Linked DNA regions of Nothobranchius furzeri. The protein of the gene in region 2 purifies or fractionates together with the protein of the main gene of each other region. This does not show direct contact. Links are inferred from orthologs where the notes say so. Each region holds a gene or a part of one and is shown on either strand. Other genes may lie near its edges.

Region 1 (5,067 bases), on a different chromosome or scaffold from region 2:
CCATGTAAGGCCCTATAGACCAGAACCAGGATCTTGAAATGAACCCTGAAGTTGACTGGCAGCCAGTGAAGCTGGAGGAGAAGCGGGGTGATGTGGGTGTGTTTGGAGGACTTGGTCAGAAGCCGAGCACAGGCGTTCTGAACCACCTGTAGACGGTTCAGGGAGGTTCTGCTCAGACACGTGAAAAGAAAGTTACAGTAGTCTAAGCGTGAGGAGATGAAGGTGTGGAGAACTGTCTCAAGTTCAGAGCGAGACAGAATGGGACTCAGCTTAGCAACGTTCCTGAGATGGAAGAAGGAAGAGCGAACAAGAGAACTGACATGAGAATCCAGGGTGAGAGCTGGGTCAAAGGTCACGCCAAGATTCCTGACATGAAGTTTGAAAGGTTTTCATATGCGACCCTCTGTTCAGGCAGCGGAGCATCGATAAGCAATTCCCCGCCAGCACAGCAGAGGGCGTAGCTCTTTTCTGCGGTACCCTGCCACCATAAAACTCCTGTATCCGGTACACGTGTTTACTAACGTCTTCATGTGTTTCAGAGACTTTATAACACGGACAATTTTGTCCATTCTCCTCCAGCTCTTCATGCCCTCGCCACCTCTAAACCCACGCTTCCTGTCGCTCTCGTCCACGTTTGTTCCGTATTTTGTACTCCTTCAGTCACGGGTGAATAAACGTTGATATTTTCTGACTTTTTCCACGATGCAATCTTCAATCTGTTCTGGGTCTGCAGCTAAATATCGCTTTACTCTTTAACAGGGCAACGGCGGAGCTGGTGACGAATCTACAGAAAGCGGCGTCCTGACCAATCACAAGCTTGCGTTCTCCATCACTTTCTACGGATGTTTAAAATTTTGGGCATGTCACCATCACCCCCTGTGAACCCTGTCAGAGCCCTTGTGCCGACGCAGACGGAGAAGTAAAAAATCAGGCTTTACTTCAATGTACATGTTCCCATGAAGCTCAGAGAGGGCGTGTCGGGGAAGACCGCTTCGCAGGTGAAGTCCATCACAGTTCTGTGACACAACATGCTTCACCTTGATTGAAAAACAGACAGAATTAAATGTAGCTTTAGAAATGAGGTCCAACCTTTCTAAACCATCCAAACTTGTCTCACATACCAGCTTCTCCTTGTGGAGCATCCTAATGCACATGTGAGTGAGCGTCGGTGCAGCTTTACTCAAGTCTGACGAACTGGGACAGAAGAAACGACAGAAATTTGAAACCCAGACTATGACCAGCTTTTTGATAAAGATGTGCCTCTCACCTTATTGCCTTTCCCTTCTGCAGCTGCGTCCACACCCCGTTAGGGCCCCTGTAGTCTGGGATAGAAGCAGCCTAAAACGAGAAACTACTGGTACATTGAAGGTTTCTAAATCACAAGAGCAACAAATAGGGGAGGTTTGGAATACCGTGCTGATACCAGCTCCAGTGTAAACCACCAGGTGATGAGCTTCCCTGACCGCCTCAGCCAGTTGTTTGACTTTGAGTTTCAACTCATCAGCATCATCAAACACCTGAAAACAGCACAAGAACAGAGCCTGAGAATAAACAAGCAGGTAATCAGAGTCAAACATCGCGCGTTTAATGATAAATGTGTAATTCTGGTTAAACATGATATCTTGAATTTATTGTGAAAATAAATCCTGATTTTTTCTTTTGTCCGTCCATCTTCAGCCGCTTATCCAGGGTCCCCGGGGGCAGCAGCCTAAGCAGAGACGCCCAGACTTCCCTCTCCATCCCCTGATGAGTCGTTAGCCTCTACTACAACCACTCCCTCTCAATAGAGGCCAACGACTCATCAGGGGATGGAGACGCGGGATATTCAGAGTAGTTTCTGCTCATTAAATAACAACAGACGGCTACAGCTTATGAGCTTGACTCTCCCACGTTCCAGTCAGAATTGACAGAGCTCCTCGGATGACAAGTTAAACGTCTTCAAGAAACCAAAGAAGTCCAGCTGACTTCATTTGAACCCTTTGGACAAACAACCGAGCACACACACACACCTAAGGACCATTTAGACAGACCAGTCAACCTGACAGCCATGCTTTGGACTGTGGGAGGAAGCCGGAGTACCTGGGGAGAACATGCAAACCCCAGGCTGGGATTTTAACCCAAGACCTTCTAGCTGCAAGGCAACAGCGCTAACCACTGCGACACTGAGCAGCAACTAAAAACACATTTGATCAAACTTTTTCACTAAACCAGACACATTGTGTGGTATGATAATTAAAATATAACTATAGTTAAAATAAACTCATAAAAATAGCAGTTTTTGAACTTTAGGATCATTTGTTGCACTTGAATGATTTGCTACAGGTGTGGGCTCACCTGTCCCTAACGACGTTAACCTTGAGTCTCACCTCCTCCTGCTTCCTCTTGAGGACACTCCTGCGGATTTGTCTCTTGCACACCTCATCCACGGTTTCTCTGTGCAGGACAAGCGCAGCGACTTCTTCCTTAGACCGTTCCGTTTCCGGCTTCTTCAGCACCTGTCCGACCTGCAGCGAGAACCGGGCAGGTTTACCGGTGCTACGTAGAGATGTGCTCACTACCACTTTTTCCTTCCCCAGACTGTGGAGGAGTTTTGGGTCCAAGCATTAAGATAAAATAACGACTTGTTTTCCATTATAGCAGCAGAAACATGGGAAATACCACACGTTGTGACACTGGTCAGATGTTAATGACGTTTACAGCCTAACTGTTGGATTCTGACACGTGAACATTTGTAGTTTAGTGGGTGGGATGCATCAGCATGTCTGCAGAACTTCGGGAAACCGCTGGTTTACTGCTAATGTAGCTTGCTAGCGCTGCCATCTTTTATTGTTACCCTTCTCTCATCTCACCAGTCTGAAAATCTTCCTCTCCCGTTCTCTTTGAAGTATTTTAGCCTTGTCCAAAGCTTTCCTTCTGGCTCGAGAAGAATTACCAGTTTCTGCATTTCCTTCCATTCTGCTCTGACACCCGAAGAGCTACAACAACAAACAAAGCTCATCTCATCTCCTCAGCGCGAGCTGAGCGGATATTAGCCGAGCGATGATGAGGCAGCGAGCAGCGCCCCCTGCCGCCCGGAGGGCGCATGCGCGTCTTTCTCCACAAAATCAACCCGGAGAAACTTTTATTGTGAAAAACAAACAAAAACATAATATACCAACATTATCAAATATCCAAAAGCAAGAACTAAGTATAAAGGTGTAAACACAATTAGGCTAATATTCCAAACCAGTACAAATCTTTTAAGGATGCACCGGGCAGACCACTGCAGTAACATGCTGATGTGTTACAAAAGCACATCATTATCAAAATTAAGGGTCAAAATGTGCTAATATGTTTAAAAGATTGTCTAATTTTGGCTGAAGGCACATAAAAGGGGACAAAAACGCTCAACTATCTCTTCTCACAGGTCCAAGTGAGTCCAGGGTCCCCTTACAAATATGTGGATTCAGCTGAAGCTAATTTAGGATCAGGCATCCCAATGAGCTACAAAGGTGAGCCAGACTGCACAGGAAGTGGTTCTCTGAAATGGGTCTAATTTGCTCTCCTACATTAGTTTTCATTCTGCCGTGGCTAAACTGTCTCTATTGATGTCGTCACCACGTCAGATCCGCTTCTGTTTTCTCAGCATCTTCTAAACACGAACAAGATGAATAAAAGGAACTTGAAGCATTTTTTATTATAAAAAAAGACTAAGACTAGCTCCTGAAAACGCAGAATCCATTTGAATGTAAGATTTTAAACATCTGTTACACACTCTTCATGTAGTTCACTGGAGGCCTTGTTAGAGTTCTCACTGGGGCCAATTAGGGAAGTGTCATCGAGGTCTCGAGGAGTAGGCGCTCGTGGGGAGTCTCTGAGGATTTGCTTTGAACTGTCCTCGTTTCGTCTCCTGAGGTCTCTCGACTGTGAATGTAGACTTCTGTCCAGTCTTTGTCGTGTCTCCCCTGTGCCGTTCCAAAGCCCTTTTCTGTATCCTGGAGGGAAGAGAAGACGTTTTTAGTAGCTGACGGAGACATTTTCTGTAGCTTCTGCTAACCTGTGGAGTATTAAGAAGTTTTCCATGAACAGCATTAAAATGTGTTAAGACTTCAACAGATCTTCTGCAGATGTGATGGAGACAGACGTGAACTTTTACCAGCTACACACTCACATGGTTTCTCTCTTCCTCTCCAGTGATTTTTGTGTTGCTGCTGACAGAAAACCCGTTCTTCTGGGGAAACCTGCATGTTCTTTCTAAAATGTGCACAAAACACACAAACATGAGGAACATACATCAGTTTACCCCCTAACATGCACGAGTGTGGGCATAAATAATTCCATCTTCTCCACTGAAGATGTCTTAAATGGAGGAGATAAAATAACCAAAACACTAACCAGCCTCAGCACCATTACTAGCACTGCTGGGCTTCATTGAGGTTTGCAGGCGCTACTTTATGCATGACTCTGAAAGTCCCACCACAGAAAATCATTCAGGTTTAGATAAAACTTTGGTTTAATTCATGCTCACTCAGGATTTACTGCTGTTATGGTTATAATCCTGTTAGCCGATTCAATCTGAGCACATTCAGTTCAGCAGAAACCTCATGTCTGACTTTAAAACACATTTAAGGTTGTTTTACCCAATACATCTGCAGTGGGCTCTAGGATAAAGGAAAGCCATGTGAATGGATTCTGTGGCGCTCCTGTTTCAGGAAGAAGAAGTTGGCTGGAGCGGAAGAGGGCAGATTTAGACTCTAACCCCCAAATTCCACTACCTCCGCTCCGCTCCGGCACGAACTCCGGAGCAAAATCGGTCCCGTTGTAGTCAATCAGAGCAATTCCACTACTGCGGCCGTACTGCGGCCGTGCTCCGGCAGTGCGCCGCCCTCTGTTCCGGCAAAAATAGAATCTATCCTATTTTTGCCGGACGCCGGAGCACCTCCGCAGTCAATGGACAGGAATCACAACCGCCCAACAGGAAAAGGAGCAAGCACAACTTCCGTTTTTCACAATAAATCGATCAACAAAAGGCGTTTTTTGTTCCATATGCACAGGTTTAACAACTTTTAACAACTATCAATGGCGGCT
Region 2 (4,943 bases):
CCATCAGCTGTTACGCCGAGCACCCGTCTCTGATTGACGGCCGTGCCGTCGTCGCTAGGTGGCATGTGGTGCAGCGACATGAGGAGTCTGGATGGAAGACAGATGGGACGGGACTTAACTGAAGCTGCAGAGGCAAAGTCTGACTTCTTTAATAAAGTTGGTAATACTTAAGGAAATTAGACTTCTTCTCACCCAAAAAAAGAACTGACGAGCACTCCTCTGGTTTTCTCGTCAAGCGGGATGGAAGGCTTTGAACTAGTCTCTGCGATGTCAGAGGAGGCCTTCTGGGTGCCGAAGAAGGCGTGGAAAAAGACAAACCTGGAAAAGGAGCAAGTCAGAATCATGGTTTTCTCCTCGACTCCCACAGAAACCCTGAAGCTGCTCACCAGGAAGCTCACCTGGCCACGTCCATGATGAGATCCTCCTGCTTCTTCACCTGACTGTTGTCGATGATGGAGGCAAGTCGAGAAACAATCCACCTCCTCAGGTGGAAAACGGCGCTGTCCTTCCTGAAGGAGCATTAGAGTTAAAAGGTGTTTTTTCAGTCAGCTAAAGAAGCGGGCGTATAAACTCACTGCTCTCCACCCTCCTGCTTGCCCTTCTGCTTGCGGGTGCTGAAGTCCAGCAGCTCTTCCATCCGAGGCTGAAGAAACATTCCTTTAAGCCACTCCACGTAGCTCTGCAAGGCTGCAGGCTGAAGATGCTGCACCACCTTCCACACTGGCAACACCACAGGCAAACCCAAGTGGGTCAGCGAGGAGAAGCCCACCATGACCGCCAGCTGCTTGTCTGAGTCCTGACAGGCCTGCAGGAAGTCCAACACGTAGGTGTCCATCTCCGGGGCCAGCTTGAAGCGGCCCGGTTTCTGGAAAAGAAAAACAGCCATCCAGATCTACAGCTCACCAAGACCTCACTTGTTATTCCTCTGATTCGAGTGAAATCTAAAATTCACCCTGGAACTAACCTGAGATGCAAGAACGTGTTCTCCGTAGTGCATCATCACTTCTCCAGATAAGACCGTCTTCAGCTGGGACAACGACAGCAGAGGGAGGGCGCTTCCCAGCAGGCGGAAGCTCAGATAACTGAACAGAATCAACAATGGGAAGGCTGGATGTTAGAATAAAAATTCACTTGCAGGGAAGAACAAAGTCATACAAGAAAATAAAAACTACACTTTTCACATTTTAGAGCTTTGTTTCCACGTTTTGGGTCCGATTCATTCACATCCTCGTAATAAACTCACTGAGTCACTCCGAACGGCTCCCTGAACATTCCCTCTGTGATGGCTTTGTTCCAGAAGAGCTGGAAGCTGTCCTCCTTCAGAGAGAGCTTCAGGAGGTCCAGAGCAACGGCTGGTAGAGTTAACTCCTTCTTCACAGAGTGAGCTGCCATCTTTAACACCTCTATCAATCTGACAGATAAGGTTTTTAATGATAATAAGCAGGAGGAGACGGTTGAATGCGTATTTTGAGACCTGATTCCCGAATTCTCACTTTGGAATGTTGTCAGCGTTAATGATGGTGGAGGAGCCCAGCAGCTTCTTGAGTTTCTTCGGCTTGAGAGTTTGAGGGAAGCGCTGCAGCGCCACCAACAGCAGCTGCAGCTGCTCGGGAGTGTTGAAGGCTGACGCCAGGTCAGTCTGCAGGGCGCCCAGCAGGACCTCCTCGAACACCTCCTCTGGGATCTGAAGGCCAAGAGGGCAGCATGTGAGTGCGTTTTGAGGTTAAACTGATACAAAGTGGAAAGCTGCAACCAGGACGCAGCGGTCACCTCAGTGAGGATGTCCACCATGGTTTTACTGGGCAGGTCCTTCAGGTGCTGCTTGTGCTGAGTCAGACTCTGGAGGAGCGTCACACATCCCAACACCACCTGTGGCTCCTGCAGAGATCAGAGCTGCTATAAGTGTTTTTGACTCTTTAGAATGTTAACCTTAAAAAACAAAAAAAAAAAAAACTCCCAACTCACTTCAGCGAGACGTCCAGACTGATGAAGAGCGAGGACGCCAAACAAGTTTCCGAACATCGCATTTCTGGCAAGTTTCTATGAAACAACGTGATTTTGGTGAGTGGAAACGCCCGTTAGTGAAGTTCCTGATGCCAAAGGAGTCCTGAGCATCTAAACTCACCTTCTTCACAGCCTGTATGTTGTGTTTCTCTTTGATTCTGTTCAGTATACTCTGCAGGGAGACGTCCTTAAAGGCACTCAAGACCTGAAAGAGGAAACTTATCGCTTAATTTGAAACATTGAAGTTTTTTGATTTCTACAAACTGGTGAACTTTAAAGTTGAATCGACCAATCAAGCGGGCTGGCGGTGCCCTCACCTGTCCCAGAGCCAGGCTGAACCCAGGCCTGGCTGTCTCCCGGGTGTGGGACAGTCCGTCCACCAGACGTTTAAACGTGTAATCCAGTTCATCGGCCTGCAGGACAGAAACAACATCCGTAAAACTTTCTACACACCACTGAGACTGGGAACATTTAGACATCACTACTCTCAGAAGAGCCCCAGGCCAGCTGTGGCTACATGGTAGCTCATCCCTACCAGTGTGTAAATGTGTGATTGTGCTGTGAAGCGTCTTGGGGGCGCTATACAAATACAGGCCATTTAAAACTCATGTCTTTATCTTTGAGTATAAATGACTTGATGAACATTTTATTTTTGTTTTGATATACCGGTATTAAACTTGCACTTTGCTTTATACTTTATTTTTATATTTAATTAACGCCTTCTACTTTGTTGTGAACTTTTAGCTGATTGTTAAACACTAGTGAAATTGTTTTTAACAGAAACTAATTTAGTCCGTTAAAACTTGATTTTCTTTGAGTTATTGTCCAATTATGAAGAAAAAGTTTTTTAAACCAAAACGTAGGCGATTTTATTAAGAAATTGACAATTTAGTCAGTGATATAATCATTTGAATCTAAAAACTTTTATTCTGATTTACTAAAACTTTAACTTCAGAGGACATAATGCATCTGAGTCTGGATCGTGTCCAGGCAGTTTCTCACCTTGTTTTCTGTTTTCAGGTACTGGATCAGGTTCTCCACGGCCTTCAGTCGGACCTCCTGATCCGGTTTAGCTAAATCCCAGAAGAAGTCGAGGAAGACCCGGTTCTGCTGTAAAACCCCGGCCGGTCGCAGCGGCTCCGCTGCCTTCACCAACAGTTCCACCATCTCTACAGACATCTGCTCTCAGAACCACCTCTGATCAACATGCTGCTACGGGAGGAAAACGTGTTTCCACAGACACAAACCACTTCCGGGTCAATTCAGATGAGGGTTGCTCTTTAGCGATAGGCCGGCGCAAGACTCGGATTTCATCGTTAAAGAATGCTGCCCAGTAGTTGCACCTCCACGTGCGCCGGTGACAACATGATGTAAACCCCCATTTTTTTGTTCTTTCAATAAACTTTGTTTTGATCATCAGCGTTTTTTGTGGGAAGGTGGAACAGTCTAAACCAGGGCCAGATCCATATCCATGGAAACTTCTTGATGTTGAGGGTTTTTCTGACTGTATCTTTTTTTTTCAGTTAAAATCTAAGTGAAAGCTACTGAAGCTTATTTAGGAAAGAGCATTCTCAGGGTTTAATCTTGTTTTTCTAACAAAGACCTCAATAAGCGCCTCCTGAATTTTATCTTGAGAGGTACTATAACTAATGTTTCTTATTCAATTGGCAAAAACTAAATCCAGACTTTAATATGAATTTAGTGACAATTAACCCATGCTACTTTTAAATCACTTTTTATTTAATTATTCAGTAAGTAAATTCTTTCTCTTTAAGCATTTACTCGTTTTGTGATATGATGCTGTGACAAGAGCGTTCACTTTGGTATTGTAGACCATCTTCATTACCGTGTTTTTGGTTTCCTAACTTTAAATCAAACCACACACATCCACAACACATTTCATCTTTGCATAAAAATGTATTCTTTATTAAAACTGCATGCATAACCCGTTGCTTCCTGCACAAATTAATGAGCAGAAAAGGGAAACTGGATGTTGACAAAAACATGACACATCACAATCACATGGTGGCTCTTTGTGCATTCTTTCACTCGATCCGAGCAGTGAGCACAGTGTCCAGAGCGCTCTGAGCATCTTTTATCTGCTGCTGCAGTCTCTGCTTCATAGCCTCGTTCTGGGCTTTTTTCAGCATGTCCTGCATGTCTTTGATAGCAGCCTGGTAGCCTGGCGCATTATGAAACACTCTGATAGCCTTGTCGCCGCTGCACACCAAGAAGCGGCTGTTAATGTCAAACCTGAGGTCGGAGATGTTTTCACTGTGGACACCGTGCAGTTCCTTCTCCAGATTCCCAGTGGCAGCATCGTACATCGCTATGTTACAACCATTGCTGATGGCCACAACACGGCCATCAGGGGACAAAGCCACTCTGCTGCCTTCGGAGGAGGAGCAAGGGACCGTCTTCAGGAGGTAAGGATCCTGCTGCTTTTTGTACTCTACATCTGTGTTCCACAGCTTCCACGTTCCATCTTTAGAGACGGTGACCATCCTGATCGATAAAAGAAAGAAAAACAAATCAGTTATATTAAAGTGTCGTAGATAATCTGTGTGTTTTTTCCATTTAGCAGAGTGATTGCTTCAGATATCAAACATAGGAACTGGATCTCACTGATGAATTTCAAGCTTCATTGTGCAAACAGAACTAACGATTTAACACCCACTGTGTCCTCATCAGATGACACCCTTGGTGTTGAATCATTAGTTCTGTTTGCACAATGAAGCTGGAAATTACTCAGCGTGCCCCAGATCATCTTTGGTATTGGAAGCTGTTTGTCTTATCGCTTTTAAATTCAAAGCACAACAAGCCTCCTCTGTGGCTCTGTGTTGTAAACAAACACTTTTATTACCTGTGAGAGTTGTTAGAAAAAGCAAAAGCATGAACTCCTGCAGAATGGCCTTTCAGATCAAACGCTCGAGCGACCT
Region 3 (4,997 bases), on a different chromosome or scaffold from region 2:
TTTATTTTAAGGCTGTTTTTCATCCAATTCTAAAAAGAAAGAAAATAAAATGGTTAACTTTCACAAAGTGAAACTATTTACTAGGAATGGACTTGTTACATGGTATAATTTAACTTTAAAAAGTCAAAACCACAATTTTGTCTGTAAATCTGCTACAGCAATTTGGATAAAAAGTGCTATTTTTTTGCTAAATTAATACTTTGTCTGAAGTAAGTCAGTGACAGTGACGCGAGGGTTAGAAGTTGGCTTTGTAAGTGTGTGTAAAGCAAAGCCCTTGACTTAGAACGGCACTATAAAAATGTAATCATGTTTAGGCCTTTATAGAATTATATCATTATTGTTTACAGGTGTTCAAAATGAAAGCGTCCTTATTATGGACTTTTGCACATAAAGAACAAACAAAATGTCTTTACAAAAACCAGTCAGACACTTATGCCATGGGGCAGCAGTAGCTCAGGTGGTAGAGCGGGCTGCCTCATGATCGGAGGGTCATGGGTTCGATTCCAGCTCCCGCCAGGGGTATCCTGCTGTTGTGTCCTTGGGCAAGACACTTCACCCAACTTGCCTGTGTTAGTGGTGGTCAGAGGGGCCGACGGCGCCAAATGGCAGCCTCGCCTCTGTCAGACCTCCCCAGGGCGGCTGTGGCTACAAGTAGCTTACCATCACTAGCAGTGTGTGAATGTGAGAGTGTGTGAAAGCGCCTTTGGGTGTCTAGAAAAGCGCTATATAAGTTCAATGAATTATTATTATTATTATGCACTAGAATTAAAGAGGAAACAGGATTAATATTGTCAGCCAGTCGAGGAGGCTCGGGGATCTGGTTAGGACACCTCCTGGTGAGGTTTTTCTGGACACCGGGAGGAGACCCAAAGCCAGAGGGACTATGTCTCTCGGCTGGCCAGCGAACACCTAAGGATTCTCCCGGAGGAGCTGGCCCAAGTGGCTGGGGAGAGGGAAGTCTGGGCCTCTCTGCTTAGGCTGCTGCCCCATGAAGTACTAAGTGAATAGTTATTTAGTTATGTTATAATTTAGAGACTGCACTTTTAAAGATTGTATTATAGAGAATGAGATGCCTTATTTAGTCATTTATTAGATTTTACCTAATTTTTTGAATAGTATATTTGCTTTTTAACAGTGTCTTTCACTGTTTCTAGTGGGAACAGCATCATGAATTTAGGGTATTGTTGCTCAATGTTATCATTGTATCTTAATGCCTTCAACCTGAAAGGAGATCCAGTTGTGTATGACCGTCAAATGAAAATAACTGTTACTGTTCACAGTTGTACCAACCTGAAACTTCGCTTTCTTTCTTGGAACGTTATCATACGTACTGACTTGTCTAAGCACATCTTTCAGCTTGGCACTGATACCCGGTTTGCTCATGGCTTCATGTACTCTCTGAAAAAAAAGATACATAAAGTCTGAATTTTAACAAAATATTTCAGTCAACAACAAACCACCGTATGGTTTCAAGGAGATTCTGGTCCACCATCCGGCATCTCAGGAGGGGCAAGCAGCTCGGGACGTTGTGAATCGATGGGTGGAACACTTCCTCAATCCTACTGGCACGTCTTCCAGGGAGGAAGCAGAGTCTGTGGACTTTGGAATGGACTCTCCAATCTCTGGGACTGAGGTCACCAAAAAAAAAACTCCACGGTGGCATGGCTCTGGAGGTGGATGAGCCCAGAGTTCCCTAAGACTCTGGATGTTGTGGGGCTGTGTTGGTTGATGCGGCTCTGCAGTATCGCGTGGACATCAGGGGTAGTTCCACTGGATTGGCAGACTGAAGTGGTGGTCCCCCTAATTACAAAGGGGGACTGCAATGTGTGTTTCAACTACAGGGAGATCACACTCCTTAGAAAGGTCTATTCAGGGGTTCTGTAAAGGTGGGTCTGTTGGACTGTCGAAGGCCAGATTCAGGATGAACAATGTAGTTTTCGCCCTGGCTGTCCTTTGTCACAGATTCTGTTCACAACTTTTATGGACAGGATTTCTAGGCACAGCCAAGTTGTTGAGGAGATCTGTTTTGGTGGCCTGAGGATCAGGTCTCTGCTTTTTGCAGATGATGTGGTCCTGTTGGCTTCATCAAAATGTAATCTCCAACTTCTTCTGGAGCGTTTCACGGCAGAGTGCAAAGCAGCTTCTCTAAACCCGAGACCATGGTCTTGAATCGGAAAAAGGTAGAATGCCTTCTCTGAGTCAGGGATGAGGTCCTGCCTCCAGTGGAGGAGTTTAAGTATCACAGGGACTTGTTCACGAGTGAGGGAAAGATGGAGCGTGGGATCAATAGGGGAATTGTTGCTGCATCTGCAGTGATGCGGGCGTTGTACTGATCTGTCGTGGTGAAGAGAGAGCTGAGCCTGAAGGCAAAGCTCTCGATTTACCGGTCGATCTACGTTCCTGCCCTCACCTATGGTTACGAGTTTTGGGTAGTGATCGAAAGAACGAGATCGGCGATACAAGCGGCCAAATTAGTTTTCTCTGCAGGATGGCTGGGCTCTCCCTTAGAGATAGGATAAGAAGCCCAGTCATCCGGGAGGGGCTCGGAGTAGACCCGCTACTCCTCCACTTCGAGAAGAGCCAGTTGAGGTGGCTCGGGCATCTGGTCAGGATAGCTCCTGGACGCCTCCTTGATGAGGTTGATGAGGCACGTCCAACTGGGAGGAGACCTAAGGGAAGGCCTTGGGGTTCCCTCAGAGAAGCTGACCCAAGTGGCCAGAGAGGGGGAAATCTGGGCCTTTCGGCTTAAGCTGCTGCCCCTGCGACTCAACTCCAGATAAGTGGCTGAAAATGGATGGATGGATGGAGGAACCACCGTTCGGTGAGAGAAGTTTACCTGAATCCACTGCTGTTGTTTCACATCTCCTTTGTTTGCCTTAGCCTCGTAGCCTTTCCCTCCATACTTCTGATTTTCACTTATACATTTGTTGTGATCTTTGTAGTCATCACCCCTGTAGAAAGCATGGAAGAGTTTACACTAAGAAAAGTCTGTGAACAGAAATCTATGGATTGTAAACACTCGGCCAGCCATTACCAGAAGTCTTTTCCACAGTCGATACAGGACAGCACTTGGCAACCACGACACATATTCACGTGTTTCTCAACCTGAGCTTTTTTTAACGATTCACCACACGCGTTGCAAGTAAAAAACACCATTTTAAAAGCAATTCAGTGACTTCTGTGTCTCGGTGCCTTTAGCTTCTTAAAGCAAGTTAAAACAACGTTTGATGCTCAATGTGGAACAATCCCCCAGTACTAGACTTGGCACGCGCTAACGGTCAAATGTGGACAACAAAAAATAAACCTACTAACAAAAGTAGAAAATAATATTTGCCAATTAATATTTTCAAGCGGATGAACAACATACGTTGCTTTTATAAAAGTTATCGGATTCAAAAAAAACACCTAGAAGCACATTTACTGATTCCCTACGTGTATACTTCACGCAATTCAATCCTACATTATTAGCCTTCCGTGAGGAAAATGCTCCCAAAGAAACGTTCCTACAATTATTAAAATAACGTTAAAAGATTGGGAGAGGAAACATTATGCCAAAAATGTTTGATTACCTTAACCAATAAAATTACAAGCATGTAATTCCTTTTATTAAAACAGAATATATATTTATTTATCTGTGTTCATGTTTCGAAATAGGCGCTGTACCAGGAAGTGACGTAAGTCACCACAGTCTAGTGACCCATCATCCCAATGAAAGGTAGGAATGTATTAAGGGAGTTGTTGGCTTTGTTTATTTCTAAAGTTGATTGTTGGCAGTTAATCTAATTTATTTACTTTTCAAAACATTATTTTTTAAAGAAATTTCGCGTTCAGCCAATTTTCCTACGCACTGCTGCGATCGCTTGGTGCAGACATTTTGTTATTTTTGCATGGCTGGTCTCGTAACTCGGCCCAGCGGAAATCTGCTGTTTACAGAACAAAATAGATGAAAATATGAAGTTCAAAAGTTTATCCAGAATCAGCTGAAGAATGCATTTGTAACCCAGTTTAGCTGTTTGTTACCCATTAGCTACAGATAAGCTGTTTTCTTCTTCTTTTTCCCCTGATGTAAGGTTGAAGTTGAGAGAGGTCCAATAGCTGAGTGACCATGGACTCCCTGTCCAGCCACAGCTCATACCTTCTCCAGCAGCTCCAGGAACAAAGAATTCAGGGACTTCTTTGTGACTGCATGTTGGTGGTTAAAGGTGTTTGCTTCAAAGCCCACAAAAATGTCCTGGCTGCTTTCAGTTCCTATTTCAGGTGCCCTAAAGTCAATTTAATGAATAAAAATCCACATGTTTTTGTATTTTTTAGCTTTCTCTATTAATCATGTTGCGATTCTATAGATGATTGAGTTGTTTTATAATTGGATTTCTCCAGGTCTTTGTTCCAAAACTCTCCAAGTCAGAAGAGCGACGTTTTCAACCTGGTTATCCAGGATGTCAGTGGCATTGGTCAAATATTGGATTACATGTATACCTCCCATCTCGACGTTAACCAAGAAAACGTACAAGCGCTTCTGGACATTGCCCAGAGCTTGCAGGTTCCAAATGTGCAGACCATGTGTAACGCCTTCCTCAAGCCTTGCCCCCCACCCGCAGAGTTGTCTTCCTTTTCCCTCCCAGGCATGCTGAGCTCAGAGCATGACTGTCTTCTGGGCAGTGGTCTTCCACATGATGTTGACCTTCACTGTACCTCTGAATCCCAGAGGCCAAATTTTTACAGTGACCTGGACCACACAAGAAGGATACCAGTTTCTCTGCCTAGCAACAGCACAAATGGTGACATACCTAGCAGCTCTCATGCACCTGTAGAAAAACAGCTGGTTCATGGATATAAGCTCCGTAATTTTTACAGTAAGCAGTACTTCAAACAAAGTGCTCTGCAAACCAGTAGTGCAGCTTCAAACCAGGGCCCAGGTCCTTTAGTGTTATCAGAAGAGCAGCTTGGAATGAGCCAGAGTCGAAACAACACTCCTGTAACCTCTGGAAACGTGCCTC

What was found.
Region 1: the proteins of mybbp1a (region 2) and sirt7 purify together in Homo sapiens (affinity purification with western blotting; 3 studies listed by BioGRID, with this or other methods). This does not show direct contact. The link is inferred for Nothobranchius furzeri from reciprocal best matches to the Homo sapiens genes MYBBP1A and SIRT7.
Region 3: the proteins of mybbp1a (region 2) and lyar purify together in Homo sapiens (affinity purification with mass spectrometry; 3 studies listed by BioGRID and IntAct, with this or other methods). This does not show direct contact. The link is inferred for Nothobranchius furzeri from reciprocal best matches to the Homo sapiens genes MYBBP1A and LYAR.

Annotation. Positions count from the first base shown.
Region 1 is NC_091746.1:22,678,859-22,683,925, forward strand, and holds the start of sirt7 (NAD-dependent protein deacetylase sirtuin-7), read right to left. Parts: upstream 3,068-5,067; 5' UTR 2,955-3,067; coding exon 2,850-2,954; intron 2,505-2,849; coding exon 2,367-2,504; intron 1,518-2,366; coding exon 1,413-1,517; intron 1,339-1,412; coding exon 1,268-1,338; intron 1,195-1,267; coding exon 1,122-1,194; intron 1,038-1,121; coding exon 939-1,037; intron 1-938. Other genes in the region: uncharacterized protein cp110, read right to left, coding at 3,815-3,974, 4,151-4,233. UniProt on the Homo sapiens protein: NAD-dependent protein-lysine deacylase that can act both as a deacetylase or deacylase (desuccinylase, depropionylase, deglutarylase and dedecanoylase), depending on the context. Specifically mediates deacetylation of histone H3 at 'Lys-18' (H3K18Ac).
Region 2 is NC_091750.1:52,602,874-52,607,816, forward strand, and holds the start of mybbp1a (myb-binding protein 1A-like protein), read right to left. Parts: upstream 3,260-4,943; 5' UTR 3,184-3,259; coding exon 3,007-3,183; intron 2,418-3,006; coding exon 2,322-2,417; intron 2,210-2,321; coding exon 2,126-2,209; intron 2,041-2,125; coding exon 1,966-2,040; intron 1,879-1,965; coding exon 1,771-1,878; intron 1,685-1,770; coding exon 1,494-1,684; intron 1,412-1,493; coding exon 1,244-1,411; intron 1,083-1,243; coding exon 965-1,082; intron 866-964; coding exon 576-865; intron 510-575; coding exon 399-509; intron 319-398; coding exon 193-318; intron 88-192; coding exon 1-87. Other genes in the region: tbl2 (transducin beta-like protein 2), read right to left, coding at 4,050-4,509, 4,868-4,943. UniProt on the Homo sapiens protein: May activate or repress transcription via interactions with sequence specific DNA-binding proteins. Repression may be mediated at least in part by histone deacetylase activity (HDAC activity).
Region 3 is NC_091743.1:56,228,728-56,233,724, forward strand, and holds the start of lyar (cell growth-regulating nucleolar protein), read right to left. Parts: upstream 3,472-4,997; 5' UTR 3,157-3,471; coding exon 3,035-3,156; intron 2,952-3,034; coding exon 2,837-2,951; intron 1,399-2,836; coding exon 1,291-1,398; intron 30-1,290; coding exon 1-29. Other genes in the region: zbtb49 (zinc finger and BTB domain-containing protein 49), read left to right, coding at 4,106-4,257, 4,378-4,997. UniProt on the Homo sapiens protein: Plays a role in the maintenance of the appropriate processing of 47S/45S pre-rRNA to 32S/30S pre-rRNAs and their subsequent processing to produce 18S and 28S rRNAs. Also acts at the level of transcription regulation.